4 linked regions of the Rattus norvegicus genome follow. The protein of the gene in region 1 interacts with the protein of each later gene in a pairwise test. Links are inferred from orthologs where the notes say so. Each region holds a gene or a part of one and is shown in the gene's direction. Other genes may lie near its edges.

The links. The genes of interacting proteins can lie anywhere in the genome.
Region 2: the proteins of Ube2l6 (region 1) and Rnf125 interact in a two-hybrid assay, tested with the Homo sapiens proteins (3 studies listed by BioGRID and IntAct). The link is inferred for Rattus norvegicus from reciprocal best matches to the Homo sapiens genes UBE2L6 and RNF125.
Region 3: the proteins of Ube2l6 (region 1) and Rnf144a interact in a two-hybrid assay, tested with the Homo sapiens proteins (2 studies listed by BioGRID and IntAct). The link is inferred for Rattus norvegicus from reciprocal best matches to the Homo sapiens genes UBE2L6 and RNF144A.
Region 4: the proteins of Ube2l6 (region 1) and Arih2 interact in binary tests that used the Homo sapiens proteins (3 or more experiments, as listed by UniProt). The link is inferred for Rattus norvegicus from reciprocal best matches to the Homo sapiens genes UBE2L6 and ARIH2.

Annotation. Positions count from the first base shown.
Region 1 is NC_086021.1:90,275,592-90,284,108, forward strand, and holds the start of Ube2l6 (ubiquitin/ISG15-conjugating enzyme E2 L6), read left to right. Parts: upstream 1-4,113; 5' UTR 4,114-4,579; coding exon 4,580-4,606; intron 4,607-5,864; exon of another isoform or gene 5,865-5,944; intron 5,945-8,249; coding exon 8,250-8,345; intron 8,346-8,517. UniProt on the Homo sapiens protein: Catalyzes the covalent attachment of ubiquitin or ISG15 to other proteins. Functions in the E6/E6-AP-induced ubiquitination of p53/TP53. Promotes ubiquitination and subsequent proteasomal degradation of FLT3.
Region 2 is NC_086036.1:12,537,449-12,545,268, forward strand, and holds part of Rnf125 (E3 ubiquitin-protein ligase RNF125), read left to right. Parts: intron 1-3,626; coding exon 3,627-3,783; intron 3,784-7,432; coding exon 7,433-7,527; intron 7,528-7,820. UniProt on the Homo sapiens protein: E3 ubiquitin-protein ligase that mediates ubiquitination and subsequent proteasomal degradation of target proteins, such as RIGI, MAVS/IPS1, IFIH1/MDA5, JAK1 and p53/TP53.
Region 3 is NC_086024.1:48,644,404-48,652,223, reverse strand, and holds part of Rnf144a (E3 ubiquitin-protein ligase RNF144A), read left to right. Parts: intron 1-2,056; coding exon 2,057-2,264; intron 2,265-5,908; coding exon 5,909-6,056; intron 6,057-7,820. UniProt on the Homo sapiens protein: E3 ubiquitin-protein ligase which accepts ubiquitin from E2 ubiquitin-conjugating enzymes UBE2L3 and UBE2L6 in the form of a thioester and then directly transfers the ubiquitin to targeted substrates.
Region 4 is NC_086026.1:118,172,511-118,180,330, reverse strand, and holds the end of Arih2 (E3 ubiquitin-protein ligase ARIH2), read left to right. Parts: intron 1-729; coding exon 730-798; intron 799-2,563; coding exon of another isoform or gene 2,564-2,596; exon of another isoform or gene 2,597-2,618; coding exon 2,619-2,702; intron 2,703-2,905; coding exon 2,906-2,977; 3' UTR 2,978-5,064; downstream 5,065-7,820.

The DNA of each region.
Region 1 (8,517 bases):
GCTGGAGAGATGGCTCAGAGGTTAAGAGCATCCAGAGGATGCTCTTCCAGAGGTTCTGAGTTCAATTCCCAGCAACCACATGGTGGCTCACAACCATCTTAATAGGATCCAATGCTCTCTTCTGATGTGTCTGAAGACAGCAACAGTGTACTCATACATAAAAATAAATAAATAAATCTTTTAAAAAATTAGAGGGAAAATTAAGTATAGTAACAATGAGTATTGTTACTCATACCCCTTGCCTAGAGAGAGAGAGAGAGTGTGTGTGTGTGTGTGTGTGTGTGTGTGTGTGTGTGTGTGTGTGTGATGGGGTCTCTTTGTTTTTCCACTGCCTGGGAAGCTAGCTGGCCTGTGAGGTTCAGAGGAGCCTTCTTCCTCCCCATTTCTAACCCCAGCTCCCATAGGAGCACTGGGGTTATGGCTGTTCATGCTGTGTGTTTAAGTGGGCTCTAGAGTTTAAACTTAGGTCTTCTCATTTGCACGGCACTTACTAAGCTACTATGCCAAGACATGGGTTGTATTCTTTTTTATTATGGTTTAATAATACATTTAATATGAAGATTTTGTGTTCGTTTGGTTTTTGAGACAGGGTTTTTCTGTGTGGCCCAAGGCTATGCTGGAACTTGCTCTACAGAGACCTTGAACTCCGAGATCTGCCTGCCTCTGCCTCCCCAGTGCTGGGATTAAAGGCTTGCACCTCCACTGCCTGGCTGCAAGGTTTTGTTTGGTTTTTTAATAATAAGCATCACGCACCAAACTTAACCAGACCCAAAGCAGAAAATGCTTTTTAAATCTGTCTGTGCATTCTGTAGCTTTGGAGAGTAAAGCCAGGTTTTATATGTGTTCTACTTATTTTTTTTAAAGCCCCAGTTTTGTTACTTACACCCATTTAAAATGTTCAGCATCCTTTTGGGGCCTCTACCTGCACTAGAAGTCACTGGCCTGAATGATGAAGAGGGAGAAGATGACAAAATGTTGCTTGCTATATTGTTGTGGTCTGCTGACCTCCTTCAGCACCAGTCATCTATGTGGTACCCACGCACAAGTTCACACAAAACACTCAAGCACATAAAATGAATCTTAAGAAAATTAAATGTCCACCTTTGCCTTTAAACTATGTATTTGTCTATAGCTTTGACTGGATGGTTGTTAAAATTTTCCACCTTTAATTTTAGGGCATGGCTGGTGGGTGTCGTAAATGAAATAAGTCAGACACTGAAGGACAAATACTACATATTGTAAGTCACATATGGGGTTTCTGTTCTGTTTGTCTGTCTGAGACGGGGTCTCCTCTAACCCAGGCTGGCTGCCAACTCTTCAAGGACCCAATACGGACATTGAACTGATTGTCCTGTCTCCACCCACCAGGTGCCAGGTGTGTGCCACCACAGCTGGCTCTTTCCCTGTGTGGAAGTTTGAGAAAGTTCTCACGGAAGCAGAGAATAGAATAAATATTACTGGGGAGTGAGGAAGAGAAGTAGAGAGGAATTATACAGGAAGCTGGATAATAGATACCAAATGTGCTTAGGTAAAAGAAATAAATTCTAGGGTTCATTTTTTATTATATTTTTACTTGGTGTGTGTAGTGTCTCTCTCTCTCTCTCTCTCTCTCTCTCTCTCTCTCTCTCTCTGTGTGTGTGTGTGTGTGTGTGTGTGTGTGTGTGTGTGTGTGTGTGTGTATGGCATGGTGTTCATGTGGATGTCAGAAAACAACCCAAGGGACTCAGTTCTCTCCTTTTCTCTTCCCACCATGTGGGTCCTGGGGAGCCACAATCTTTACCTGTGGGGCCATCTCTCCAGCCCTGAGTTCGTTTTTTTTCTTTTCCTAATTAAAAAAAATTATTCATTCATTTATTTATTATATATAAGCACACTGTAGCTGTCTTCAGACACACCAGAAGAGGGCATCAGATCTCATTATAGATGGTTGTGAGCCACCATGTGGTTGCTGGGATTTGAACTCTGGACCTCTGGAAGTGTCACCTCTGAGTCATCTCTAGCCCTTCTTTTCCTAATGTTAAAAAAGAGTATTTTATGTATATGATTCTTTGGCCTGCATATTTGTGCACCATACATATGCCTGGTGCCCAGGGAGGTTAGCAGAGGATGTCTGATCTCCTGGAGTTACGGATAGTTTGTGAGCTGCCATGTAGGTACAAGAAACTGGACTCAAGGGGGCTGGGGAAATGGCTCATCGGTTAAGAGCCCTGATTACACTTCCAGAGGTCCTGAGTTCAATTCCCAGCAATCACTTGGTGGCTCACAACCATCTGTAACGGGATCTGCTGCCCTCTTCTGGAGTGTCTGAAGACAGCAACATACATAAAATAAATATTATATATATATATATATATATATAAATATAAACTGGACTGAAGATGCTGTGAGAGTAACAAGTGTTATTAATTGCGGAATCACTTCTCATACTTGGGCAAATTTCAATAGCAGTGCTTCATAAAGAACCAGAAGAGTCTGTAGGTCCCAAACACACAGAAATGTTTGCCATGCAAATACTAATTTGATCATTATATACATACATAGGTTGAATTACCCCACGGTACCCATCCGCATGTACAATTATTATGTTCCAGTTACAATAAACTATTTACTTATTTATTGGTGCCTCTGTGTGTGTACGCTCTTACAAGCTGGCTCCGGACCCTTCCTAGAATGCTTGCATTCACAGTGATGAAGGGCTGCAAAAGTAAGGAGTAGAAACAGCATACTCTCTGTGCTGCACGCTCTCAATCCGTTCCGGCTCCTGACACCCTGTCACTTTGCCAATGCTGTTCCTTCCCTCTTTTTTTTTTTTTTTGTTTTTAAGATTTATTTATTTAATATATATGAGTACACTGTAGCTGCCTTCAGACACACCAGAAGAGGGCATCGGATCCCATTACAGATGGTTGTGAGCCACCATGTGGTTGCTGGGAATTGAACTCAGAATCTCAGGAAGAGCAGTCAGTGCTCTTAACCCCTGAGCCATCTCTCCAGCCCTGTTCCTTCCCTCTTATTCTCAACAACTTCCTCCCACGCCCTTGGAGGCGGAGCTAACTCTTCAGGCGCCCTCCCTTTGATTCAATCATCCCAGGAAGCCTTTGCCCCGCCTCCACGAGGAGATCAAGTGATCCCCCCTCACCCAGACCCAGTGATTCGTTATGTGATTATCATTAAAAATTCAGAGGCTAAATTGCCGGCGTGGTGGTGCTTGCCTTTAATCCTACCACTTGGGAGGCAGAGGCAGGCAGATCTCTGAGTCCTGGGCCAGCCTGGTTCTCCAACAAGTTCCAGGCCAGTCAGGACTACATACTCAAAGAACTACAAGTACAAAAATCCAGAGGCTAAATTCTCTGTTTTTCAACTGCCCGAGAGCTCCTGTGAGGACAGATACCACAGTTTCTCTGTCTGGTGTGTTCCATAGACAGTGCCTGGCACTTGGTGTTAACTAAGACTACTACTAACCAGAAATGGGTTCAATGCCCTGCTCCCCTATCTATATTTAGGGGTTGCTGATGGCGTCCTGTTTATTATTGCTGGCATTAGAAGGTATCTGATTAAAGTTATTGAATTGAAAAAACAGAATCGTTTTTCAAACACATCCCGTATCTAAGCAGATCAGATATTTGGTTCCTGGATAGAAAAAAAAAAATCCTGTGGCATACTGGGTCAAAATCTTAGGCTTCAAAATATGCTAATTTCTGGGCTGGAATGGGTGAGGCAGGTAGGTGGATTCCTCTCTAGCTTCAGAATTTCTCCCAGATGCTGTGTTCTGCTAATTCCACCATGGTCTCGACTTGGGCTAGAGACTCCTTGGCTGTTTGTGAAGACACACAGTAGGTACATAGATTGTAATCGGCTGGTGATAGAATATATAGGCTCCTGAAATCTATCTCGAGGCTTCAGCTACCCATCATTTTCCCAAATCGCCACAGAGCAGACACCTTCTATGTGTTCTTCCGAGTAAAAGAGTTAAGGTCGACAGAACGCCCCTAACTAGAAGAGATTGGATCCACCAGCGTCCTCTAGTGGTGCTCGGCACCAAGCAACCTAAAAGCAACATCCAGCAACGCTGCGTCTCTGCCTATCTGCTGGACTGTACCACTCAGGATCCCACACAGTTAAGGGAGCGGTCCTTGGAGGGCATAAAGTCTACACTGATCCCCAATCTCTTTTAGGATGGGGTACTAGACCCACAAAGGCAAAGTGATTTGGCCCAGGACTCTGAGAATTTCTCTAGAGGTGGGGGTTAGGTCCACAATCTCACTGAGAGAGCCTGCAGCAGAGTTACTTTGCAGCGGCGTCGGGGGAGCTGACAGAGGCTAGGGATGAACCCCATCCCAGCTCCTGCCTGATGTACTCTACGAGATGCAGGAACCACAGACGTAGTCTCTGATCTGCAAAGAGCTTGAGTTTCTTGGATTTAAGACCGCCAAGCTGGGCACTCCGCAGCCTCCACGTATCCCTCGAAGAAGTGGGAAGCAGGTCTTTACAGCTGGAGCCCGTGTAGGTGGAGCAGAGCGTGGGCGGGGCTCAGGATCGTCCGGCAAGAATCTGCTGCTGCCCCACGCTCCAACCTGAGATGACGGCCAGCAAGCGAGTGGCTAAAGTAAGCCTGTACAAGATGATTCTTTCCTTGTGCTTACCCCCCCCACCCCACTTTCTCCTCCTGCTCTCTGAACACTTTTATTTGGTTACCAGGGCTAGCTGAAACCCAGGCATCCTCACCTTCTCCCATTGAAGGAGTGGGAGAAGGGAGGGGTGGGGGGAGGGGTGAGGGAGGAGGGGGGAGGGAGAAGAGAAGGGGGGAGGGAGGGAGGGAGAGGGACTGATTGAGACAGACTGGAAACAAAGTTGTCATCAGCTTCCGGAGTTGTAATTGGCGCGAGAATGAACTAGATTTCTAAACTGGTTTCAGTTTCAATTCTGCTGAAAATTTATTAGTGGAGCTTATCTCAGGCACCGGAAGGGCTCTGTTGCGCCGTCTAGTGGATACACTCATAATTTGATACCCACCTTACCCAAGGCCTCAGAAGCCAGAGATGCTGTTGGGCTGTGGTGAATGGGCAGATCCTGGAATAAAAGTGTACAGAATAGTCCCTGGAATGAGAAGTAACAATTTATGCCCTGAGTAGGTTATTAGTATGCAGTCCTGCTACAGATGCTAAACGCCTACTTTGTGCCAGGCAGCAGGGGCAAAAAAGGAACAAAAATCTTGTTCCATTTGAATGTTCATTTCTATGTGGGACACTATTTGGTACTATGTAAAAGAATGGAAAGAGGGTAGTCTAGAGGTCTGACTGGAACCAGGATTGGAGATCACGGAGAAGAAACACTGGTGAACTGGTGCTGGTACCTCCAGGCTTTGAGTCTCCCCAAAACACCCCTCTAGTCTGCAGAATTGAGAGCAAGGCCTCCTCAGGAGACAGGAGGGATGATTGCTGTCCTCATCTTCCAAAAAGAAAATTCTTTTAAGGTGGAGAAGTCCAGAGCAGACCCAAACCAGAACTAAACTTTGTTGGTTTTAGGCTGGTACAAAATGGGACAGAGGTTAATTGCTACCTCAACGCTAAGAGGTAGACTGACTTTTGTTGCTCCGGAATCTTCAGCACCAAGCAGTTTGCTTTATCTAACTCTTACAACAACTGTGGGATAGCTGTGTCTTCCCATTTCACGGAGGAGGAAACTGAGACGTCGGGGAAAGTAACATGGCTGACCAGTGATATTCTGCAGAGGTAATGGGGCTGGAATTTGAGCTCAGGCTGATAAGACTGCAAACTCACAGAGCCTTTAATGGCCCGTCTGTTTTCACTTTCGATTCTCCTAAGTCAGGTGACTTACTAACAGGCTTTGGGAGGAGCTGTGTGTCCTAGCTTGGGTTTCAGCAGTCATAGGAAATTCAGCCAGAAGTCATCAAAACGCATTAAAAATCTAAGTACTCCCAGTGGTAAGAGAGAAAATTTCCCTTCTATATTTTTAAATTTGTGTTGTTCAGGTTGGCCTTAAACTTGATATGTAGCTGACAATTTAAATTATTTAATTTAATTTTTTTGTGTATGGATGCCTGTGTGTATACCTGTTAGCTACCTGCAGGCCTAGCAGAAGTCACTGGAGCTAGAGACGGTAGTCAGTCACCATGTGAGTGCCAGGAATGGAACCCAGCTTGTCTGATCCTCTGGAAGACCAACAAGTGCACCTAACTGCTGGGCCACCTCACCAGCTCAACCTTTAATTTCTTAATTCTGTCTCCATCACATCCCCTAAGACCTGGGATCATAGATGTGCACCACTTTATCAAGTTTCATGCAATGCTGGGGATTGAACCCAGGGCCTTGTGCATGCTAGACAAACGCTCTCCCAACTGAGCTGCATCTTCATCCCAGAAAATGTCCATTCAAGATCTGGGTTATACCGAGGCCTTTGCTCTTGCCCAAGCTAAGGCACAAGTTATGCTTGTGGTAAGCTAGAATAGGCAAATGAATGGTCCTGGCTGCAAGTAGAAGGCTTAGAGATAAAAGGGAGTGTGGGGAGTTTTTATGCTTGGGAGACGGGTACAGATGCTGTGCAGCTGTGAAGGATGCCACCCCCAAGCCCCTGGCTTAGGGGAACTTTCTCCCTGCCTGTGTGTACACAAGCCTTCCTCGACTTTATCTCTGTTGACATTTGGGGCCAGATCATTCTTTGTAGGATGTTTCATCAGTACCTCTGGACTTTACATGCTGAATTGTGGCAGCACTCACCCCATTTGTGACAGTAGGAAATGCTTCTAGATATTAGCAAAGGCACCCTGGTGGGTAAATACACCCCTGGATGAGAACCACTAGTTTGTATCTATTCATGTTTCCCAGAGCTGCCTTGAATGTGTGAATGCTTTTCTTTTCTTTTTTTTTTTTAAAGATTTTATTTATTTATTATATATGAGTACACTGTAGCCGTCTGCAGACACACCAGAGAAGGGCATCAGATCTCATTACAGATGGTTGTGAGCCACCATGTGGTTGCTGGGATTTGAACTCAGGACCTCTGGAAGAGCAGTCAGTGCTCTTAACCACTGAGCCGTCTCGGAGCTGGGGACCGAACCCAGGGCCTTGCGCTTCCTAGGTAAGCGCTCTACCACTGAGCTAAATCCCCAGCCCGTGAATGCTTTTCGAACCACCTCCCCCTTCTCAAAATGTGAAGACCTGGAGTCCTTGGGTGTGGTCCTTTGGTCAAATGCATGCACCATGGTATCCTGGGGACTTTGGATGTGCTGGGGGTGTGGTTCAGTGGCAAGGTACCACCTAGCAGGCTCAAGGTCCTTAGTCCCATCCTCACTACTGCAAAACCTTTGGGTTGTTCTGCAGTGAAGAAGCTTTATAACTCATCTTTCCCAAATGTACTTAGCCATAAAGGCCTTTTCCTGTAGTAACTATTAGTATTCCAAGGGGGACCTGCACATGCTTGTCCTGTCTGGGCCCTCTGCCTTGTCTCTATGTTTTTTCGCTTGGTGATCTCCTACCTACTCTTCAAGGCCTATCTCACGGCCGCAGCCTCTGTGAAGTGTCCCCGCTCCCCTCCTTCCTGGTTGTGTGCCCATTCACACCATTCATGGCCTCAAATTTGTTTCCGCTGTTACTCCAAAGATGTTCTTGGGGGCTGCATCCTGTCTTAGTCAAGGGTCAGCAGAGGATGTTCAATAAACTGCTCTTGGGAGAAATCAGGGATGCCCAGGTGATTAAGCCACATTTCTGAGAAGGCGAGTCGCTCATTGTCCCCTGTCTACCGTGTGTGATGTGCAGCGTTTCTCGCCTGGGCAGCCTGGATCAGTCCTTTACCCTTAAGGTGGTATGATGTGGTGGCGGGGAATGGATGCGTGATGGCCTTGCCATTCATTCTGCCAGTGCATATTGTACTGGAAACTCAGATATTACTGAAGAGAGAGGGATAAAATAGGACTCTGTGAGAAAAAGGGCAAGAGGACAGAGTACCTTGCCCTCAGAAAGAAGGCTCCTAGGAGTTCTTACTATTTGAGAGAATATTTGAGATCACCTAATCCTTACACTGGAGCCTACAGCGTTGTGGTGAGGCTGAAGCCAGGTAATTCATTAACCACTCAGCATTGGGTCTCACACCAGCTCAGTGTTCCCTAAGTTGGGGCTCTGACCTTTCTCTTTCTGCTCTTAGGATATCCTGTTTGGGCTTTCTGTGGGGCTGCTGCTGTGGGGCTGAATTTGTGAGCACTTGGCTTACTACCCTTGATGTGATCCCTACAGGAGCTGGACGATCTTTCGAAGGAGCTTCCGCCATACCTGCGCCACCTGTCTAGCGATGATGCCAATGTGCTGGTGTGGCACATGCTCCTGCTGCCAGTGAGTGTCTGTGGGGACCCTTTGGAGACTTAGGTCAGCATGGGCAGGGAGGGTCAGGCCTAGGATCTCTTCCTGGAGGTTGTGGTGTGTGGAAAGATCTGTCTCTAGACCAATTGCTTCTAAGTCCAGTCAGACCAATGAACACAACAGAGACTTTAGATGTAAGAGGACA
Region 2 (7,820 bases), on another chromosome or scaffold:
CCATTGGGGTTGATCTTGAACTATGGCCCCTCCAGCCTTCACCTTTCAAATGCTGGGATTATAGGCATGTACCTCAGCACCCAGGCTTTGTGTGTATTACTGTCCATGAGCATTCAAACACTTAGTGCATACAAATACTCCGTACAAACCAGCCGAGCCTCAAGACACCACAGCCAGGACACCACAGTGTGATTTACTCATGGGAACTCCAGCAATTCCCAGAAAAGTCTCTATTGGGCAATTTCTCCTAAACTGGCTGTTTTGTCAACTTTCTGACCATGTTCTGAGCAGCTCCTATTGTGCTTGAGTTGTGGAGGAGGGACCTTGTGTTCTAAGTGGCCCCATGATCTTCGTCACAGTGTTACTGGGATTTCCCTGCCATCACAGAATTATTTTTGTTTTGCTTCTCAGGGTTAGTGAGGTGATACACTCTGACTCACGTAGTACAGAGTGGGTTGATCAATTGCCGCCATTGTTCACACTGTAACAACACCACAGTCCGGATCGAGATCGTTAGTTCCGGTACACTGGCAAATCACCTCCTGTCCTTTGTAGTCAATGTCTGTCCGATGGCTAGCCCCATCAGCCCCACCTGCTTTCTGGAATCAACTTTGGGATCAGGCAGCCAGTAACTCACTAACATGACCCTGAACTCCTTCTCCTTCAGTCTCTGGACTTCTGAGATTATATGAGACTGGTATGTGCCACCTTGTCTAGTTTACACAGAGGTGGGGATGAGACCCAAGGCTGCTTGTGTGGCAGGACAACTGAAGTATGCTCCTAACCTACTTTAGAGACAGGATCTCATACGCCTCTAGCTGGTCTTGAACTTGTTGAGGCTCATTTCGGACTTCTGATCCTCTTCCTAAGGGTCAGGGTTACAGGTTTGTGCTCTCACCCCCAGCTTAAGGCACCACCCCTCTTGAATAGATGTATTATAAACTTGAAAGTATATGAGATGGCTCTGCAGGGCCTCCAGTGACCTTCGGAATGTTAAACCTCCTGCTTAATTCTGAATGCCTAGCTAGGACTCTTAGCCTTGGGCCTGGTTTATGATTTGAGAGAGGTCTCAAGGGCTGAGAGTGTATATATTCTCGAAGAGCACATATTGCAAGTGGTTCACATGTTCAACTGAAAATAATGTCTTTTTTCATGGTGCTCTGGATCAGTACCCAGGCTGGCCCTGAACTCGTGTGATCTTGAGTTAAGGCTGGTCCTCTGTCTACGTTCTCTCTCAGCACAGCTGAGATTATGCCCTGAGATTCCTGGCGTTTCTGAATGTCAGCTAAGTGCAGTTCCTAGCTGTTGTAGTTTTTGTTACTATTAGGAGTGTTCCCAGTTCTTCTCCAGGTTCCCTTGTATGCTTACCACTGTTTTTTCCTGTTAGGAAAGGGGTTGTATTGTAGCTCAGGCTATCCTAAAACTTTCATATGTAGCCCAGGTTGGCTGAAATCCCAAGTACTAGGATTAGAGTGGTATATTGCCGTGCTGATTTAATTTTCCCCCTCTAATTTGACAAAGAATCTCCCCCTGTTTTTATCTCACTCCTCTGCTTCCTATGCCCCATTGGCTTTTGTTTATTTATTTGTTTGCTTTTTGAGGCTAAACTAGACTGAATCTAGCTATTTACCTCAGAGTGACCTTGATTTCCCTGCCTTCACCTCCCAAGTAAAGATTAGAGTCGTGCCACCATGCCCAGCATAAAACCTCAGGTCTTACTAGACTTCGTACTTCTGCAGTCTCATATCCAGCTTCCCATAGAGTGAGCTGTCATCTACCAGGACATAAGTCGTGTAAGCAGAGAATTCAGGTTGTAGCCATTGATAATTGTATTTGGAATGTTATTTTTTTTTTCTTTTAGTTGAATGTTTGAACCATTCGTAAAAATACTCTTAAAAAGGATATACTTTCAAGGTTTTACGTGTGTCTTAGGGTTTCTATTTCTGTAAAGAAACACCATGACCAAGGCAACTCTTAAAAAGAATAACATTTAATTGGGGCTGGCTTACTGGTTCTGAGGTTCAGTCCATTATCATCCCGGTGGGAACATGGCAGCATCCAGGCAGGCATGGGGCTGGAGGAGCTGAGAGTTCTACATCTTGTTCCAAAGGCAACAGGAGAAGACTGACCCTCCTGCATGAGTGAAGCTTCAAAACCCACCCCACAGTAATGCACTTCCTTTGATAAGGCCACACCTCCTAATAGTGCCACTTCCCATGGACCAAGCACATTCCAACTACCACAACTTGGTGGCCCATCCGTTTAATTCTAGCACTTAGGAGGCAGAATCAGGTAGATATCTGTGAGTTTGAAGCCGTCCTCATCGATGTTATATGTTTCAGGCAAACCAAGAGTACACAATGAGACCCTTTCTAAAAAGCAAACAAAGAAAACAAGAATACACCTTCAGCCAGGCTTACTACTGTAATCCCCAGTAGATCCCAGGGGGTAAAGATGTTAGTGGGAAAACTGAGTCTCCCTTTTCAGATTCATTCTCATTCTTTCTCTCTCTCTCTCTCTCTCTCTCTCTCTCTCTCTCTCTCTCTCTCTCTCTCTCTCTCTCCAGGGTTTCTCTTTGTAGCCCTGGCTGTCCTGGAACTCACTTTGTAGACCAGGCTGGTCTCGAGCTCACAGACATCTACCTGCCTCTCCCTCCTGAGTGCTCGGATTAAAGGCCACCACTGCCCAACTAGATAGATATACTTATTTTTATTGTATGAGCTCTGTTTGCCACCTGCTTGCCCAGTCCCTGTGGAGATCCTAAAACATCAGATCCTAGGAAATGGAGTTAGTGGTGGCTATGAACTACCATGTAGGTGCTGGGAATTGAAACTGGGTCTTCTGCAAGAACGGCCAGTGCTATTAACCACTGAGCCATCTCTCTACACACACAACCCCTTCAGGTTCTTAGTCTCACTCATAAAAGAATTTAGACATGGGGAGAAAGTCACGCCTTTTGAGTTAGGGTCTATGTTCGGCAAGCAGCCACGCAGCAGAAGCAGAGACAGAGAGGGCCCAGAACATCAGTGAGAGCTTGAAAGAGAAGACATTACATTTTTTCTGGGTAATTCAGAGAAATGCCGACTTCCTAAGCAGCTACTCCCAGGTGGGGTTTCTGAGAGGGAAGCTACATTAAAAGTCTATCACCACAGTGATGGGACAATTATCCCACCCATCTTTTTATCTGGCTTGAGGAAATCAGACTGTCTGAGGTGATTGACAGGCCCAACTGGATTGATTAACGTTTTGGGTCTCCACACAGGGCCACAGGTAGAACTTAGAGTCTGTCTTTTTACCTGGGAGTGGTTGGATGGGCTGTAACCAAGCCCAGATACCTCGGCCTTCTTTTCTGAGAAGACTTGTGTGGTGCAGCCCTGGCTATGCTGGAACCTGTTATAAACCAGGCTGGCTTTGAACTCACAGATCTACCTGCCTTTGCTTTTGAGTGTTAGAATTAAAATGGTGGACTACCATGATTTTTTTTTAATTTTTAAATTATGTGTATGTGTGTATGTATGTATGTGTGTATGTGCCCGTATGAATAGAGGTATTCTTGTCCTCTAGAAGAACAGCATGAACTCAGGTGCTGAGCCGTATCTCTGATGTATTCTGTTTCTTTTGAGTAGGTTCTGCCGCTCTTGCATTGCAACCAGTATAAAGAACAATAATAAGTGGACATGCCCATACTGCCGCGCGTACCTTCCTTCAGAGGGAGTGCCCGCAACTGACATAGCCAAGAGGATGAAGTCAGAATACCAGAACTGTACTGAGTGTGGAACTCTGGTGAGTAACACAACCACGATTACAAGCAAAGGTTTCCAGTGAAATTACACCTTCTCCAGCTCTCCAGCTCCCCAGCTTTGGGGACAGGGTCTCATTCTGTAGCCCAGGGAGGACTTAAACTTGCTATCTCCAGATCCAGACTTGGAAGTGTCGGGGTTGCATGCAGGCCCCACCACGACGGCGCCTTTAGTATTTGTGTGTATACAGCACTGGAGGTTGAACCCAGGGCTTCCTACATGCTAGGTGCTATACCACCGAACCAGAGCCCCAGCCCTCATTTTTCTTTTGATTTTGAGACAGAGTCATTAAGTTCTCTGTGCTAGATATGAACCTATTCTGTAGCTCCACCAGCTTTTTAAACATCCTTTTTGAGACTTCAAACTCTTACTTCATTCATTTATTTTCCTATCACCATCCAGAGCTGGGAAAATAGCATTTTTAATGTGGAATTTTTTTAAAAAAGGAAAACGTACAAAAACCTGTGTGTGGGGGCTGGAGAGATGGCTCAGTGGTTAAGAGCACCCGACTGCTCTTCCAGAGGTCCTGAGTTCAATTCCCAGCAACCACATGGTGGCTCACAACCATCTCTGTAAAGAGATCCGATGCCCTCTTCTGGTGTATCTGAAGACAGCTACAGTGTACTCATATATAATAAATGAATAAATAAATCTTTAAAAAAAAAAAACCTGTGTGTGGTAAGTAGCTCTTGCCTTTAATCTCAGCATGCTGGAGGATCTGTTGCATGTTCAAGGCTAGCCCAGGATACATGGCAAGTTCCAGACCAGCCAGGGCTATGTAACAATACACTGTCACAGAACAACAAATACCCCAAACAAAAAGTCAGTCCCCAGCAGTCAAAGAGTGTGCCTACTCTCTCCCCTTGCCTCAGAGCCTGGAAACCAACTGGATATTGTCCCCCTTCCCCTGGCCCTTAAGGAGTTATTTCTGACTGAGGTAGCAGGAAGAAGATTATGGCTCTCAGCCCTCTCCTCCCCCCAGCCACACCAAGTGACTGATTAGATTTGGTTACCTGGACCTCCTCTTGCCCGGGTCCTTTTCTCCTGTTAGGCTCCTTTCAGTCTTTCCCAGTGAGCTGAATGGACCCCCTCCCTCTCTCCCTATGTCAGCCACCGCCATGGCCTTTGAGGCAAAGACACACAAGGAGCATAGAGCATCTTCTGTAACTTTGTACCCAACTCTTATCTACTAAGGCCTTTGTGCGTTTACAAATATTTATACATGTAGGAATAATCTATCATGGGCACCTGACCAGAATCTGTACATAATCTTTGGGGACAAGCATCCTGATATCCAACACTAATTCTCTCTCTTCCTGTTTCTGATTTGGCACAAGTTATTTATTTACTTTTAATTATTTATTGTGTGTGAAGGGGGCCACACATGGACAACCTTACCGTAGTTGTCTATCCAAAACGGCGTTCTCTCAGACCCTGGATGAAGTCCCCCGTCAGACTCTCTTCTCATATCTGATCTGTCACAGGATTGTAATTAATGTTTGAGGAACGCTGTGACAGTGTCTTGCTTTCTAGGCTACCCTTCTGTCCTGGAAGGCTGCCTGTTCCTGCAACGAGTTGAAGCTTGTCATATTTCACTGTCCAGGGCAGCAGCTCTCCTCTCCTTGCAGCCTCCTTGCAGCCTGGCCTTAGTATCCTGAGTTCCTCTCAGAGGAACTTCTTAGCTACCTGCCCTCACGTCTCTGTTCCTCTGTGGAATTATCCGCAGCATTAGAACAGGCAAGCACTTCATTGTCTATCATCTCTGCAACAGTACCTTACATAATGTATGTATGTATACATTGTAAATCTGTCAGTCTCTCCATGTACAGTCCCCAGATTGGTGATCCTTCTAAGGAAAGCTCATTTTTCTTGAACAAAGAGTACACTTAAAAAAGAAAACCCAGGGTCTTAGCCTAGTCTAGCCTGGAACTTGTGATCCCCCTGCTGCAGCATCCTAGGTACTGAGGATTATGTGTGCACCAGAGTAGGCCTATGTGGCCTGGAACTCACTATGTAGGTCAAGTTGGTATAGATTGCTTGCCTCTGCCTTTCAAGTGCGGGGGTTAAAGGTGTACACCAAAATGTGTGTGGCTATTTCCATCACGTGGTAGAGTTTTTGAAGTTGAACTTGGAACAGAAGTTTGGGCAGCCTGGGCTGGCCGTAGGCTGCCACCTACTGGCCACTGCGAGACATTGTCTCCAGCAGATTTTTTTTTTTTTAAATATGTGAGTACACTGTCACTGTCTTCAGACGCACCAGAAGAGGGCGTCAGATCCCATTACAGATGGTTGTGAGCCACCCTGTGGTTGCTGGGAATTGAACTCAGGACCTCTGGAAAAGCAGTCAGTGCTCTTAACCACTGAGCCACCTCTCCAGCCCTCTCCAGCAGATCTTAACCGGCATTTCTGAGCGGCCTGTATACTACACTATCAACAGAGCCCTCCAAGTGTGGGCGCGGCTCCTCATCCTGCACTGAAGAAGATGAATTACAAGAGCAGTGGCTTATGTTAGCCTTGATGGCTCTATTAAATGTGGTGTGCATCGTGAACTCATACAACACTATTCATGTCACTCATCGATGGCATTTACTACTTCACTTAATGTGTGAGCCTTTAGTTTATGATGGACACTTGCAAAATACATTCAATTCTCATCTCCATTTCTTTTCATCTTGTGGAATGTTTTTCTTCTTTCCTTATTCTTACTCTTTCTTTTCACCTAGTTTTTGTCTTTTTCCCACAAAACCTATTTGCATAGCAATATGCAAAACATCCTTTGTTACTAAACATCTTTTGGCTTTTTCTTTTTTTAAAAAAAAAAGTATGCTTTTTAGAAGGAACAATTTAGAAGCTCAATATTTCGTTTCTGAAGTGTTAGGAGATTATAAGCACAACTTTTTTTTCCATCTTTATTAAATTGAGTATTTCTTATTTACATTTCAATTGTTATTCCCTTTTCCGGTTTCCATGCCAACATCCCCCTAACTCCTTCCCTTCCCCTTCTATATGGGTGTTCCCCTCCCCACCCTCCCCCCATTGCCGCCCTCCCCCCAACAATCTAGTTCACTGGGGGTTCAGTCTTAGGACCCAGGGCTTCCCCTTCCACTGGTGATCTTACTAGGATATTCATTGCTACCTATGAAGTCAGAGTCCAGGGTCAGTCCATGTATAGTCTTTAGGTAGTGGCTTAGTCCCTGGAAGCTCTGGTTGGTTGGCATTGTTGTTCATATGGGGTCTCAAGCCCCCTCAGTCATAAGCACAGCATTTATCACATTTATTATGTATTATTATATTATTATTAATATTACTATTATTATTACCTTTCGGTTTTTCAAGGCAGGGTTTCTCTGGGTGGCTCTGGCGGTCCTGATACTCCATCTGTAGACCTGGCTGGACCCAAACTTAGAGATCTGTCTGCTTCTGCCTCTCAAACGCTGGGATTAACAGTGTGGGCCACCACCAAAGTACATGCATTTCTCTTTAATAAGAAGGCCTGTACTTTGTGAGTGTTTTGTGAAAAAAAAAATCCAATTCATTAACTGTCCCAGTGTAACCCGATTTGAAAGTCATGAAGCCAGGTTACGTGAGGGCCCTGGCCAACAGGAGTTTTATCTTGAGTTTGCTTTGTGTAGGTCTGCCTCAGTGACATGAGGGCGCACATTAGGACGTGTGAGAAGTACATCGATAAATATGGCCCACTGCAAGAGCTTGGAGAGACCACTGCAAGGTTTGTTTGAATACAGTAGAGCGCCATGCTAAATTCAGCGTGTCTATGAGGAATTTAAGGCCAGCACTTGGGAGGCCGAGGCAAGAGTTGTGGCTTTGAGGCCATCCTGGGCTACAGAGTGAGGTACTCCTGTGAGGAAAGCCACTCAAAATGGGATTTCAGTACCCAAGTCTTACCTTTATTCTTTTTTTAATGTGTGTGTGTGTGTGTGTGTGTGTGTGTGTGTGTGTGTGTGTGTGTACCCAAGTATATGTCGGCACCATGCTGGTGCAGGATCCTGTAGAGGTCAGAGA
Region 3 (7,820 bases), on another chromosome or scaffold:
GGAGTGCCACATACAGCATCTCAGGACCTTGCTGTCCTAACAACAAGATCCTTTTATGCTTTTGGTGAACACTTCTTAATCAATAAGGAGTGGTTGCCTTGGATTAAGAGTCAGCCAACTATTGCTGTTAGGCCAGCCCATCTCCAACCCCCAGCTGCTATAATTAAGGTTTCCCCCAGAACCTTCATTTGTGGGTTGGTTCGTCGGCTCTTAACCCAGCAGCAAACCAAGTAGATGTCACAGAAAACCAAACATCACATGGTCTAGAACGATGTAAATTAATCCCCACCTTGCGCTTCATAGAAGTTGGCCTGCCTCCACACCAGTAGGTAAAACCATTACTGATCTTATACCTGACAAGCTTGCTCCTCCAGCACTGATCAGATTGTCCCCTATAGTTGGAGCAACAGGAAACCCACAGAAAAGCTCACACATGTGTATGAGGTCAGGACTGTGCAGCATTGGACCTTGTAAGGGAGGGTTTATTTGGCTCACAGTTGGAAGTTACATACTCTGTAAGTTATACAAGTAGAAGGCATGGTGGCAGGAAGGTAAGGTAGCTGGTCACACTGCATCCTCAGCTGGGAAGCAGAAAGTGCTGGGTAACTGTTCCTAGCTTGATTGCTCCTTTTTATCCAGTCCAGGACCACAGTCTGTGAAATTGTATTGCCAGAGGCTTGTATCCTAGGTGATCAAGTCTCCTGTGGAGTTGACAGTCAGTGCTAATCATCATGGCCTTCTGCACTCCCAGTCAGCTGGGTGTCCCATTAGGTGAAGTGCCTGTCTTTGGATCTGGTGAGCTACAACCACATCCGGCTACCTGGCTTAGGGCCAGGAGGTTTGCAGGCAAGCATGTTTTCTCAGTAAAAGTCAGTGCTCCCCAGATTGCTTCTGAGGAGAGCCTGACTGCAAAGCTGAGGGCAGGCAACTTGTGCAGGAGATGATCCTGTGATTTGCTGGCCTGCCATGGCCCCTGCTGTTAGCCTCCTGTTTGTGCCTCCTACTGCACCTGGTGAAAGTTCAAAGTCCACTAGAGATGAGGGAAATGGAGATGCCCTGCTGGCTCACTATGGAGGGCAGCTCAGGACGAATTATAAATGCAGGTTTTGGATCAGGATGTGAAGAAAGAGGAATGCCACCATATCCTGTTTTTAAACTAAGTTTCCTGACCAATCCCATCAAGTCAGGCTTTGCAGTAACTTGGGCATAATCTGCAGAGAAGACAAGCTTCTAGTTTTACCCAGTAGTTAGGGGTTCAGGCTTGGCAAGAGAATCTGACTTGGGCACGTGAACCGCCCTATTAGAAGACTGAGAACAAAATTAGACACCTAGGTCTGAAATCAGACATCTAGAACTGGAAATGCCATAGCAAAAACCATGGTTTTGTATGCTTCGTGAAAATGTAGTAAGGCAACAGAACTAGTACAATATTGCCTGCTTGGCTTGCGCCCTTCCTCCCTTCCTCCCTTCCTCCCTTCCTCCCTTCCTCCCTTCCTCCCTTCCTCCCTTCCTCCCTTCCTCCCTTCCTCCCTTCCTCCCTTCCTCCCTTCCTTCCTTCCTTCCTTCCTTCCTTCCTTCCTCTTTCTTTCCTTCTTTTTACCGTTCAATAAATACTTGCAAATGACTGCGTATGACCCTGGCACTGGGTTAAGTTTCAAGAAAAAAGTTCTCACCTGACTTCAGGAAATATGTCCTGCTCGCGGTGGGGGAACCAGTGGGCAGGTTGCAGACAAAGATCTGGTAATGTTGACACTTAGAGGAACTGGGCTTGGCGAATACTTCTCCAGAATATAATGGAACTGGAGGCCAAGATGGCAACTGAGGTAGCCCTGGGCACACCACGTACAAGGGTAAAAAGCTGGAAGGGGTTTGTGTGGAATTGGATGGGCACAGGAGCTGTAAAGGAACAGTTTGTCTGGGGAGTGTCTGACTGGGTCACCTAGATGTCCTTCATTCTCACTGCCTTAGGCAGGGCCCCAGAGGGTCTCCATGCTCACCCTCTCCAGTACCCATGGTATCCTGATTCTAATTTATGCCTTCTGTCTCATTGTGCTAGAGGTGCTCTTTGACCCTTGTCGGACGTGGTGCCCAGCATCCACCTGCCAGGCCGTGTGCCAACTCCAGGACATAGGGCTGCAGACCCCGCAGCTGGTGCAGTGCAAAGCCTGCGACATGGAATTCTGTTCTGCTTGCAAAGCCCGCTGGCACCCTGGCCAAGGCTGCCCAGAGACCATGCCCATCAGCTTCCTTCCCGGGGAGACCAGGTACTGTGTAGGAGCTGTGGTACAAAGAGTAGGCTGGGGGCTGAGGGCTGGGGGCTGGGAGCAGGGGCTAGCAGAAGGGTTAGGCTTCCTTCCTGAAGGTCTCACCTGAGAGCAGGTGGCTGTAAATGCTTTGGACTCAGAACACACTCCACCTCCCGTCTCTTTCAGACCTGTGGTTTACTTGTGAGAACATTTGGCAGGTATAACACAAGACCCTGGGAATATAAAGATGTATAACATAAAAAGCACCCTCTGCTCCCTGCATGAAGCACATTGGACTACTCACCCAGATTAATTCCTCTGGTACCTGCAAGTTTTCCATAGCTGCCCTCTGTTGGAGTTTATCTGAAATGGGAGTGTAGGAGTAAGGACAGTAGGCATAGTAAGTGCTGGTGATAAGCAAGGTCACCAGTAGGACCACAAGTACCTGAAGCCAAGGGCCCCACATCTTTCTTTTTTTCTTTTTTAAAATTTACATTTCAAATGTTATTCCCTTTCCTGGTTTCCTGTCCATAAGCCCCCATCCCATCCCCCTCTCCTTCTTCTATAAAGGTATCCCCCTTCCCTAACCAACCCCATTCCTGCCTCCCCACCCTGATATTCCCCTGCACTGGGGCGTCCAGCCTTGGCAGGACCAAGGGCTTCTCCTTCCACTGGTGCCCAACAAGGCCATCCTCTGCTACATATGCAGCTGGAGTCATGGGTCTGTCCATGTATAGTCTTTGGGTAGTGGTTTAATCCCTGGGAGCTCTGGTTGGTTGGTATTGTTGTTCTTATGGGGTCACAAGCCCCTTTAGCTCCTTCAACCCTTTTTCTAATTCCTCCAACGGGGATCCCATTCTCAGTTCAGTGGTTTCTGAAAGTCTGAGTCTATTAGAATACAGCAAAGGACTACTGTGTTTCTTCCCTTTTGCTTCTCCTAGTCAGATAGCCCAGTTGTTTGCCCAGATGGACTTTATAGATGAATTTAAAAGAGTGAACCATAGGAAACTGGTTATATCAGAGGTATTTCCCCACAATAAAATGTATACCATCATGTAGTTCAGTGAGGCAAAGAGGCTATGGTCCTGCTGACCACACTCTCATGGCTGCACTTCCTACCCAAACGGGGCCCTCCCCACCTGGTCCCCAATTTCTTCTGTTTTCCAGTCCTCAGGAAGGTACCTCAGATCCTCTGTGGCTCTTCCAGCACAGCCCTGCCCTCTCTCCCTTTGTCCGTAGGTCTACATGTCTGCTCTGTTCCTTACCAGAGCTGCCTTGACACCCTTTGCCCAGGATCCCTAACCATTCTGTCATCTCTATCTCCAGGGTAGTATTGGTGGCTACATCCTCTGTTTTCCTACTGTGGAAACTTGGATGCATTCACCGCCATCCAGGACTTACCATGTCGTAGGTCACATGTTCCCATGACTGACAATTCTACTGTCAGGCAGGGACTATGCAAGCTTGACGCTTGACCTGGCATACGTCAGGCATTGGATACCAGCAAAGGCCACTGAATTTAGACGTAGGGTTATAGAAACTTCCAGACTCTAGGAGGAAACATACTTGCTTGGCTTGATTAAAAGTGATCGATAGAGGTTGATTTCTAGGAAAGGGAGAGCTAGAAGCAGATGAAGCATCTACCCAGGGAAGCAGTCCAGTTTTTTATTTTTCTCTCAGAGTAATCCTTAGTAAGTGAGTGAGTGAGTCCTGTCTCTTAGCAGGAAGGACAGGAGTGGAGGGCCCTTCCTAGTTGAATGGAAGAGGTTCCCAGCCCAGTCATTTTTCTTATCATAAAACTTTCTCAGGCCTGGGGATGAGCCCAGTCAGTAGACTGCCTGCCTATCATGAAAGAAACCCCATGTTCAATCCCCACCACGCGATTGAAACCAGACATGGTGGCTCATGCTTAGAATCCTAGCATTTAGAAGGACGTTGACACTGAACAGTTTCCTGGATTACTCTCCATTTTATATATTGAAGAGAGGGTCTGTCAGTTGAACCCAGAGATCATCAATCAGACACACTAACTATCTGGTCTACCCTAGGGAGACCCTGGCTTTACCTGCCTCTAGCACTAAGAGTAGAGAGAGATACTGCACCAACCAAGCTTTTATTTGGGTTCTGGGGATCCAAACTCCAGTCCCTGTGCTTGCATAGCCCCCACTTTTCCCACTGAAGCATCTCCCCAGCGTTTCCCAGACTCTCTAAACCTGTCACATTCCATTGGTGGGTAAAACAGAACCCCCTCAGGAACAGAAGCCTTGCTACACTTAGGAAACCAGTGCACATGGTCATGAGGAAATTCTCATTGCTGATCACCAGGCATTTAAGTCTCATCTATTCTGTGGCCCTCTCAAACGATCCCTTTGCCAAGATGCCTTCCAATAGAGGTGCTCTCTGACTTTAGCAACTGTGCACTCGGACGAGTTGTACTCTGATCGGCTCCAAGTGGAGCCGTCTCTTTGCAGGTCTATATGGATGCCATGGGTTCTAACATAGGTACAGTATGCGCCTTGGTGGCATCTTCTCTTGGCCTTTCCCATTTATTCTCCCAGATGTTGTCCCGACTATCTATTTCAAGGGAAAACTAAAGGAATGTTATGGGGCGACCTTCTTCAGCCATGCCTAGATACCCGTTTTACTTTTGAAAAGTTAATTAACAGTACTGACTTATTGTCACTGTTTTCAAAAGTCGGCTACTGTCTTAGTCACTGTTCCCATTGCTGCGAAGAGACACCATGGCAGAGGCAACTCTGATAAATAAAAGCATCCAACTGGGGCCTGGTTTACCATTTCAGAGGCTTAGTCCATGAACACTGTGGTGGAAAATAGACAGGTTTGGCGCTGGAGCAGTAGCTGAGAGTTTTACATCCTGATCTGCAGGCAGCAGAAAGAGAAGAGAGAGAGAAAGACACCGGGCATGGTGTGAGCTTTTGAAACCTCAAAGCCCACCTCCAGTGGCACAGTTCCTGCAACAGGGCCACACCCACTCCCAACAGGCCACAGGCCCTTACCCTTCTAAGTCTTCTTAAGCACTCCCTGGTGACTAGACATTCAAATATGTGAGCCTATCGTGGCCATTGTCATTCAGAGCCCCACGGCTGCTTTGTACTTTGCACAAGCAGAATACTTTCATAGTTTTCATGCGTTTGTAGAGGCATCCTATAGCTGGTTTGTGGAGAAACCAGCATCCGCCACCAGACTTAAAGCTAATAACCATTGCACATCCATCCCAAGATGCCAGGGAAGCTGTCGGGCAAGCCAGGTAGGTCTTCTGAAGCAAGTGTGTATCTTCATGTACATGTGTGTTTATGACACTTTTTTTTTTCTGACAAGACCAAAGTGGATAAAATTTATTATTCACTCTTTGGAAAATGTACACATTTGTGAAGCCTTTGTTTTCTGGTGTTTGGTTTTTATAGAAATCTAAATTTAGGTATGTGCCGGTGGTGCTTTTTCTTTTGTTTCGTTTTGCCTTAATCTAGCAGATAGACTATGTTTTTGTTTTCCAGGGCTTTTGTTTCTTTGGCTCTACATCACTTCCTTTAGTAGCAAGAGACCTGGGTCCCTGTCGTAGAGAAGTGCTCCTGGAACAGCCCTGCTGCTGAGCTCGTCCTCATTCCCTTCTGCGTGACCCTCACAGTATATCTCTCCCACAGCTCTGCTTTCAAGGTGGAAGAGGGCGACGCACCCATCAAACGCTGCCCCAAGTGCAGGGTGTACATCGAGCGGGACGAGGGCTGTGCACAGATGATGTGTAAGAACTGCAAGCATGCCTTCTGCTGGTACTGCCTGGAGTCTCTGGACGTGAGTACCGTGCAGCCTCACAGGGCAGCCATGAGCTGTGGATTCAGATATGTGGGAGAGGGACTGTCATTGCCTGGGAAGCTGGAGGCCTCGCTAGGGGCATGATTCTCCTGTGTTTGTGTGAATCTTGGTTCCCTGAGGTGACATCTGGGTACCGAAGTTTGGGGCAGGCTTGGGGCTTAGCTTTATTTTGAAGAGTCTTGGAGTCTCTGCAAACATCAGAGTAAAGATTCAAGTAAGGCAAGACAGATGTCTGGTTCAGCATGACTCCATAGCTGGTGCTAGTTTAAACTTCCAGAGTCTGACCCCAGGAAGTTCATTTCAGGCATATTTAAGTACAGCACAATTTGGAAGACCATTTCCTGGTGTAACACAATCCTGAGTACACAAGGAGACACAATTCCATTGAAACTCTTCTGAAAACACACGTCACTTCTTCTGCGAAGATGGCTTTGAGAGATAGGGTATATGAATTATCTTAAGGGCCTAAGAGGATCTGATGAGGTCTCCATGACACAGACAGCACAGAGGTCATCTGGGCTATTAGCCACCTCTGGTCCCAGTAGTAAGAGCTTGAGAGATCCCCTGCCCATTGACCACCTCTACCTCCCAGGCTTCTGGGTGGAGCTTGGGGGATCCCCTGCCCATTGACCACCTCCACCTCCCAGCCCTCTGGGTGGAAAGCAGATTATATGCATCCTTGTCTTTGCAAAGACGACCCTGCAGGTTAACATTCAAACATTCATGGTTTTCTCCTAGTGCTTACCTGTGAGCTCAGACCTTTGTACTCCCAACAGAAGAAGAGGTGCTGATTATCTTAGGGTCCTAATGAGCCTGGCTGTTGTGATAGGGTACCATTGGGGAGCATGGGGATCATGAACAACAGACATCCAATTCTCACAGTTCAGATCCTGGAGAGCTGGACTACGGCTGCTGGCAGATGGGGTCCTGATGGAGGCTTCTCCCTGGACATGCCAGGAAGAGAAAGCTCTGATCTTTCCAAAGACATTAGTCCTGTCAGGGACTCCATCCTCAGGAACTCATCTAAACCTAATCGCCCCCAAAGGCCCACCTCCTGACACCACAGAGGCTGCAACTTGGAACTTGGATGCCAGAAAGCACATTTAGTTAACGGAACAGTGGGGAAAACGAAAGTACACACAGTAAAACATGTGCATTGGGAAACGTCTGTGCCTCATCTACATGGGAGGGAAACATATATTCCCTGTGCTGCCTGCCAACATAGAAGTCCCTAGCCTAACACAGCACCTTTCTCTCACGTGTTCTCTATGTCAAGCCTCTGCTGCTACTGCTGCAGCCGTTGCTGCTGCCACAAGGGTTTCTTGCTGCTTCAAGCCCTCCCTCATCTACAAAGGCCTGTTTGTGCAGTTCAGTCAGATCTAGGCTTCAGGAAGATGAACTGACAGTGTGACGCAGGGGGTTTATCCTGACCCTAGATAGCCTGGCATGGTCACCCCCAGAGACCTGGTTTCTCTGGAGTCACTGACCTGGTGGAAACAAAACCTGTCTGTTCCCCATGCTCTTTCCTCAGCCACATTGCCAGCTCGGGTTATGTGCTAGTTTCCTCTCTGTTGCTAGGACAAAATGCTTTGATCAAAGAGCAATGTAGAAAAGATTTGTTTATCTGTTTTTAAAATGTTTACAGTAAAGTTAGGGCAGGTACTTGAAGAATTCATGGAAAACTGCTACTCACTTCCTCACTCCCAGCCTGACTTGACCACCTGCTTAGAGAGTGGCATTGGC
Region 4 (7,820 bases), on another chromosome or scaffold:
TCAGTGTACACTTCTACATTGCTGTTCATCACCAAAGGAAGTCAGGACCAGAACTCAAGCAGGTCAGGAAGCAGGAGCTGATGCAGAGGCCATGGAGGGATGTTACTTACTGGCTTGCTTCCCCTGGCTTGCTCAGCTTGCTTTCTTATAGAACCCAAAACTACCAGCCCAGGGATGGCACCACCCACAATGGGCTGGGTCCTCCCCCCTTGATGAGTAGTTGAGAGAATGCCTTATATAGCTGGGTCTCATGGAGGCGTTTCCTCAAGGGAGACTCCTTTCTCTGTGATAACTCCAGCTTGTGTCAAGGTGACACACATAAAACCAGCCAGCACAATGTCCAAAGGACTTCTGAGCAGTTTGTTTAACTGTCTCTGCCAACAGAGAAAACTAAAGCCTTTTTTCTTCTTTGTTCCATTTATGGATAACTGAAAAGAAAGTCTATAATTGATAAGTATTGAGATGTAGATTTTACTGACCACTAAAAAACAGAAAAGTTCTGAGCAGCTGGTGGTTATGAGTCAGTATGAAGGGTGGTGGTTCTGTGGCCAGTCTTGTTTCCTGTTTCCCTGTCTTCCTGTAGTCCACCATCTCCATAGTCTGGCCTTGTTGCTTTTAGATCCACATGTCTAGAGTCATCATTTGCATGGTTGGGTATGAATTGTAAGAGCTACCCAATGTGTGGGTCAAGTAGAATCAAAGATAAGACTTTTTTCTTTCTTATTCCAGTGTCGATACACCCTGCAATATACCTATCCATATGCATACTACATGGAATCCGGCCCCAGGAAGAAGCTGGTAAGCCATCACTGCCTTTCTGCTGTTCCCTGCAACTTTAGAGGGGCCCCATTCTTACAGGCACTTTGCAGATGGACATGGTTCTGACCTGATATCATTGGGAGAACACAATGAAAACTGTCTTACTGCAAAAAGATATTTCTGGCTCTGGGCATCTCTGAAATAAACCTCAGATGCTATAATAGCCAGATGCACCTGATCCCTTAAACCTTGATATTTAAAGATCAATGGACTCAAAAAGCCTATGATCACTTGGATAGCCAGTGGCCGTATCATACACATCCTTATGTTATAGTTGTCTATTTCCTTTAGTTGTTCTTAGATATGGTTGTTCCTCCTGCTGATAAAAGTAATTTTTATATATTCCTTAAATGTTGGGAAACATAGCATTTATGTTGTTCATGTTCTAGCCTTTAAAACTAATGTTATCGAAGTAAAGCTTTGTGTAGAGCATATGTGAGTCTCAGCACCAGAAAAACACAGAGGCACAAACTTCATAACTCCAGTGATCCAGGATTGAGTTGTCTGTCCAGCCTAGACTATAGCAAATCCTTCTCAAAAACCAAGGCACAAATGTATGGTTGTCAAGCCTCTCACCTTTTACCAGATTGAATTCTTCTTTACAAAAATGCTACAATGTTTTACCTTAATGTGTCATCATTTGACAGGACAATTGTTTCCATTTTCCTCTCACAAATAAGACTGAGGAAAGTCTTTTTGTGTAACATTTTATTCCTCAAGTGTATGGTTACTATTTGATTTTTTTCTTCTAAGTACAAAAAAAAAAAAAAAACCTTAGCCCAGGCATCCTCGAATTTATATATAAGTACACTGTAGCTGTTCAGACACACCAGAAGGAGGGCATCAGATCCCATTACAGATGGTTGTGAGCCACCATGTGGTTGCTGGGAATTGAACTCAGGACCTCTGGAAGAGCAGTCAGTGCTCTTAACCACTGAGCCATCTCTCCAGCCCCCAGATCCTCGAATTTAAACTCTCTGTCTCTGCCTCTCGTGCTGGGATCACAGGCCCACACCACACAGGCCACATTGTTTGGTCTTTCAAAGGGTGTCCTGGGGTTGGGGATTTAGCTCAGTGGTAGAGCGATTGCTTAGGAAGCGCAAGGCCCTGGGTTCGGTCCCCAGCTCCGAAAAAAAAAAAAAAAAAAAAAAAAAAGAATCAAAGGGTGTCCTGTTCTGTTTGGTTTGGTCTTTTTTGCTTGGTTGGTTGGTAATTTTTGGAGGTAGGATTTCAAATAGCCCAGACTGGCCTCAAACTTGCTGATAACCCAGGAGGGGACCTTGACCTTCTGATACTCCTTAGCGTTGGGATTCCCGCGCCATAGCGTGTGCCACGCCCAGTTCATGGGAACTGAGCCCCAGGCTCCTTACATCTCGGGCAGGTATTTCACCAGCTGAGATGCATTGGCACCCCCATCGTAAGGCTTTGCTGGCCAGATGACTACATGACTGGGGGGAGTAGAATGTGGGGTAAATACAGTGTCTTGACAATATCCATTTTAACCTAACCTTTGTAATGTCTGTCCCGGTGTTTTGGGACCATCTTTTCCCATGGCTTTAAGCTTCTCACCTTCCTTTGGTGGTGGACGGCAAATGTTACTTTGCCATTTGCTCTCTCTTCTGGAAGCTCTTTGGATGTTTTTTCCAGCTCTGGGCATAAAGAGTAACAAGCATGCTGAGGACAGTGTCAGGCTTGTCAGTTGCTAATTGGAGCCTGAGGTGCTGCATGTACCCTCCATCTGCAGGCCCTGCCCGGCTACAGCCCTCTCTCCTTTTGACCCTCCTGCTCTGCCCATACAGTTTGAATACCAGCAGGCTCAGCTGGAGGCTGAGATCGAAAACCTTTCATGGAAAGTTGAGCGTGCAGACAGCTATGACAGAGGGGTAAGTGCCTGCCGCCTTCCTTCAGGTAAGGGAAGGGTGTCATTTAACAGTGATTGTACTGGGCTGGGATTTAAAGGTGCTGCCTTAGAGGGTGGGCAGGTCAGCTTTAGACTCCTTGGAGCGTCCAATACACCGCCTGTGGCTTTGCGTGCTCTCCGCTCCTGGCATTGGAACTTATAAAACCTGTTGTGTCGATTGGACAGGACTTGGAAAACCAGATGCACATAGCAGAGCAGCGGAGAAGAACCCTGCTAAAGGATTTTCACGACACCTAAACCGGGCTGTGGATGTGCCGGGGTGAGGAAGATGTAGCTGTGAGGCCACCCGGCTACCGAACTGCATGCTGCAGGCTCTGCCTTTCACGACCCAGGCAACAGCCAGGGCCCCACTCCTGAAAGACACTGGCAACACACCTCTTAGTCCATTTGTTTTCTTCTCATCTTTTTGCTTTTTGTTTCTACCAGGGTAGAGGCCATGTTGAGCTGGCCTCTAGTGAGGACTTTAAATTTCCCCTGGATGGTTGTTGGGCGGGAGGGAACTTTTTTTCTGAATGGCTATTAATAGTATTAGATCATTACAACTTATGTAATTTTCAAAGGTTGTACGATTATAAAGAAAAGAGGCAAACCATAGGTAACACGGAGCCCGTCTAAAATAAATTGGCTTTGGAGTGCTTCACCCTTTAGCTACATGACTTAGAATGTAACTTGATACTGCCCGCCCACCCAGTCTCAGCGTCTACACTGCCGGAGCCCTGGCGTGGCCTCTGCTTTCCCCTGGAGCTGGAGCTCTAGGGGAGAATGTGGGTGGCAGATAGGGATCTGAGTTGGCCTGTACAATAGGCACGGGTACAGAGTCACACTCCTTCTGGACAGCCAGGGCACAGAGCAGAGCACGGTCTCACTGCAGGCTGGCTTTATTCTTGAATGTGAGGTTTACCTGAGTCAGGCCACCCAGGCCAGCACCCACAGCAGAGGTGGGCGGGCTAACGCACCCCTGAACTGGGAGACTGGTTCAGCATGGTGCTTCCTTTTGTTTCATAAAGATAAGGAATCCACCTTTGTAAGGAATCGTCCCCCGATGTGTTTCCTTTTCCTTGGTCGTTCCTTTTGATCCAGTATTCAGGTGGTGGACTCTGACGAGAGTCACTGTCTTGTTGTGTTCTTATGAACAGAGTTCACAAGGTCAGAGTTCAGCATGCATGGCTCTTAGACCAAGGGCATGGGCCTTGTGACTCAAGAGGTTTGCACAAGTTATTTTTATGTTCACCTAGAGTGTGGCCAGAAGCTGCTCCGTGGTGGGGTGTGGTCCCCTTTGCCTAGTGCAGCTGCCAGAAGTCCCCGTCTCTGTGGTCTGGGAGTCTAAGGCCAGGAGAATCCCTGCTTTGTGGTCTCAGTTCCTGTACGAGAAGGGGCTGGCCAGAAGAAAGGACCAGTTCTGCACAGTTGAGTGCCGTGTCCTTCCTATCTTGAACCTGGTCCTGTGGGCCTTTGAAAAGTTAGATCTGTGATCTCTGGGGTTTCCATGGCTTTGCTCAGTGCCTCCCCTCTGAGACTGGCAGAGCTGTCTATACTTGACAGGACCTCCTTGAACTCCTAGGAGAGCCTATGAGAAATCTGTGAATACTATGATGCAGATTCTTTGATATTCATACATTTTCACCTCCAGTCAACAATTTCCTAGGTACCATGTAAAGCTGTAAAATTGAGTTATTCTTGACAGGTGACAGCTGTGACTCTTGGGGTACATGACCAGCTGTACATCCTCTTTCACCTTGTCTCTTCATGTCGTCCCTGACAAGTGAGATTGTGAGGTGGATTAGGAGTAGTAGTTTGGGGTATGGTGAATGAACCCAGAATACCAATGGGAGCTGATTGTGAGCCAGGAGTGTACCTGCTGCAGGCCCAGGGTGGTGTGTGATGCTGGTAACCAGACCTTTCCATCCAGTCCTTTTGGTGGCACTGCCATGACATAGGACCAGAGTTTCAGCTCTGCAGCCTAACTTCCCCTTGGGTACTTTCTGAACTGCACAGCTGCCGTCCTCCCACTGCTCAGCTGTGACCCTGACCTTTGGCCCTGCAGGAGGCTCTGCCAACCTGTAGCTGGCACCTCACCTGTGGAGACCTTTGTTCTGCACCCTCGGTGCTTGTCCTTCGTTAACATCAGAACATCTGAGAGGTCAGGCAGGAGGCGAGGGTTTGGTTTGGTTTAGTTTGGTGTTTTTGCCCTGCAAAGGGTAGAGAAAGACAGTGTTTTCATGAACTGACCAGATCCTTGTCTTTCTTCAAAGAAAAGTTGAGGTAATGTCATCTCACAAAGTTGAGTGGTTTATTCAAAATAAATTCACTTTCTGATTATAAAACTGTGTGGAGTCTGTCTTCTCAAAGCAACTGCCTTTTGTTCTTCCCACTCCTTCAGGGGCTCTGAGGGCCCAGCCAGACTGAGCACTGCTTTTCTTGAAGTTTCTTCTCGGATTGAAAGCAGCTCGAGGTGCTCCCTGCAGAGCGGGAAGAAGTAACTTGGAAATGTTAGTTCTCTCCTTGGCAAAAAACTGAGCCCGAGCCACTCCCTACAAGCATCCTGGGATTGAAGAATGACCCAAGTCCCGCCATTAAAGACCTCGGGTCCCTCCAGAAGCAGATGTAGAAACACAGTACACAGGACATATGGCTCGTGAGAGAACTTCTTGGCTCTGCCTCACGGGCACTGGGGTTACAGGCGTGTTCTACTACACCCAACTAAGAGATTGGAATATTCCTAAGTGGGCAGTAGGGATTTGTCTGTTGGGCTGGGGATTTGGCTCAGTGGTAGAGCTCTTGCCTAGCAAGCGCAAGGCCCTGGGTTCAGTCCCCAGCTCCGAGAAAAAGAAAAAAAAAAAAGAATTTGTCTGTTTAAACAAAAGGGGACAAAACTGGAAATGGGTTTGGAAGTGTTGTCCGGCTTACAAGCAGCATTAATGAGAGTTGTCTTAGGGTTTTACTGCTGTGAACAGACACCATGACCAAGGCAAGTCCTAGAAAGACAACATTTATTGGGGCTGGCTTACAGGTTCAGAGGTTCAGTCCAGGATCTTTAAGGAGGGAGCCTGGCAGCCTCCACATAGACATGGTACAGGAGAAGCTGAGAGTTCTATATCTTCATCTGGAGTCTGCTAGGAAAATACTTCAGGTAGAAAAAGCCTACACCCACAATGACACACCTACCCCAACAAGGCCACACTTCCTAATAGTGTCACTCCCTGGGCCAAGCATATACAAACCCGTCACGAGAGGTAAACTAGCACTGTGGGGGGCCCAACCCCACATGGCTGGTCTTGGCCTTGAGTGTGCTCTTGTGGGCACACAGCGAGGTGTGAGAGGACACTACCCCCAGAAGTGCCTTCAGCTTTATGACAGAATGGGTCACTAGGGATTTCCTGTTTTCTGTGTGTGGGTGTTTTCTATGCATGTGTACTGTGACGTTTTATTATAGATATGCCTGCTGTCTAAAAGGAGGGGTGCGGGCAAGAGCCACAAATACCCTTAACTGCTGAGCCATCTCTCCAGCCCCACTAATAAATTTGAACCAGTTAAGATAGGGCATCCTTGAAAATCAGTGGGCATAGGGTAACATGGTGTTCACACTACTTTTGGTGATCTTTACACATGATGTCCCTGGCAAGCTGGTTCAGTGGGTAAAGGTTTTTGACAGCTGAGGAAGAACCTCAGGATCCTCATGGCAGGAGGAGAAAAGGAACTCCTGCAGGTTGTCCTCTGAACCCAGTCTTCCATAGCACAAACGCATATACGTGCACTTAAATGTAAAAAAACAGAATGTCTTCGTAGGGCCTGGAGAGATGCCTCAGCAGATTACAGCACTTGCTGGTCTTAATGAGACCTGGGTTCCATTTCCAGCAGGCACATGATGGCCCACAATTGTCTGCAAGTCCAGTTCCGGGAGATCTTGCACTTTTCCTGGCCTGCATATGCTACCTAGAGTTTTCTACGTTTTTGTTTGTTTTTTCTATAAGATTCCCCGGATATACTACATAGTAATATCCAGAAGTCACAGTATCTGGTAAAGTGCCAGGTGTGGTAGCACATACACATCTGTAATCCCAGAGGCTGAGTCCGAGATCAGGAATTCAAGGCTATCCTAGGCTGTTTCATAGTAAGACCGTGTCTCAAAAGAGGAGAGAAAAGAAATGCCATGTTAAAATGAGTTTTGTTTTTCCTTTTTCAGAGCTGGGGACCAAACCCAGGACCTTGCACTTGCTAGGCAAGCGCTCTACCACTGAGCTAAATCCCCAACCCTTAAAATGAGTCTTATAAACACTAATGTTTATCAACAGTTGACGAGTATAGTTTTTAGAAATTGTTGTCCCTATTACACAAGAAATTGGCTCCTGACCTGAGTAAATACAGAAAACTACAGAGGGGGGAGCCTGCAATCTGCTCTGTAGATCAGGCCCGGAATTTGGGAGAGAACCTCTTGGCTCTGCCTCACGGGCACTGGGGTTACAGGCGTGTTCTTCTACACCCAACTAAGAGATTGGAATATTCCTAAGTGGGCAGTAGGGGTTTGTCCGTTTAAATCATTAACGTTTTTGAGAAAGGATGATGCCGTGAAGCCTAGGCTGCCTGTCTTCACCTCCTAAGTGAGATTACTACAGGTGCGCACCACCAGTACTGCCCAGATTCCATACAAAATGTTATGGTAGCAACAACATTCCTTTGTGGATTAATGTTAGGCAGCTGGGAAGATGGTTCAGTGGGTAAACCTTGAGGTCCAGAGTTCAGATCCCCTGCACGTAAGGCTGAGTAGGCACTGCAGTCAGCCTATAGTCTCAGGACTGGGGGGTGGGTGGGTGGGGTCTAGGATCCTCAAAGCAAGTTAACTAAAAAACCCAGCTCAGTTGGTGTGCGCTGGGGTCACGTGAGAAAGCCTGTTCAATGTATACGGCAGAAAGAGTGTCAGTATCAGCCTTCAGCTGCCATGAACACACACACTAAAAATAAATTCTGGGGCAAGAGGCCATGTCCTTACTGCCTTTGCTTCTGTGTAAGGACAGCCAGATCTGCCACCAGAGATCTCTGTTCCCACTCCCCATGAAGATGGAGGACCATTGGTGCTGACTGT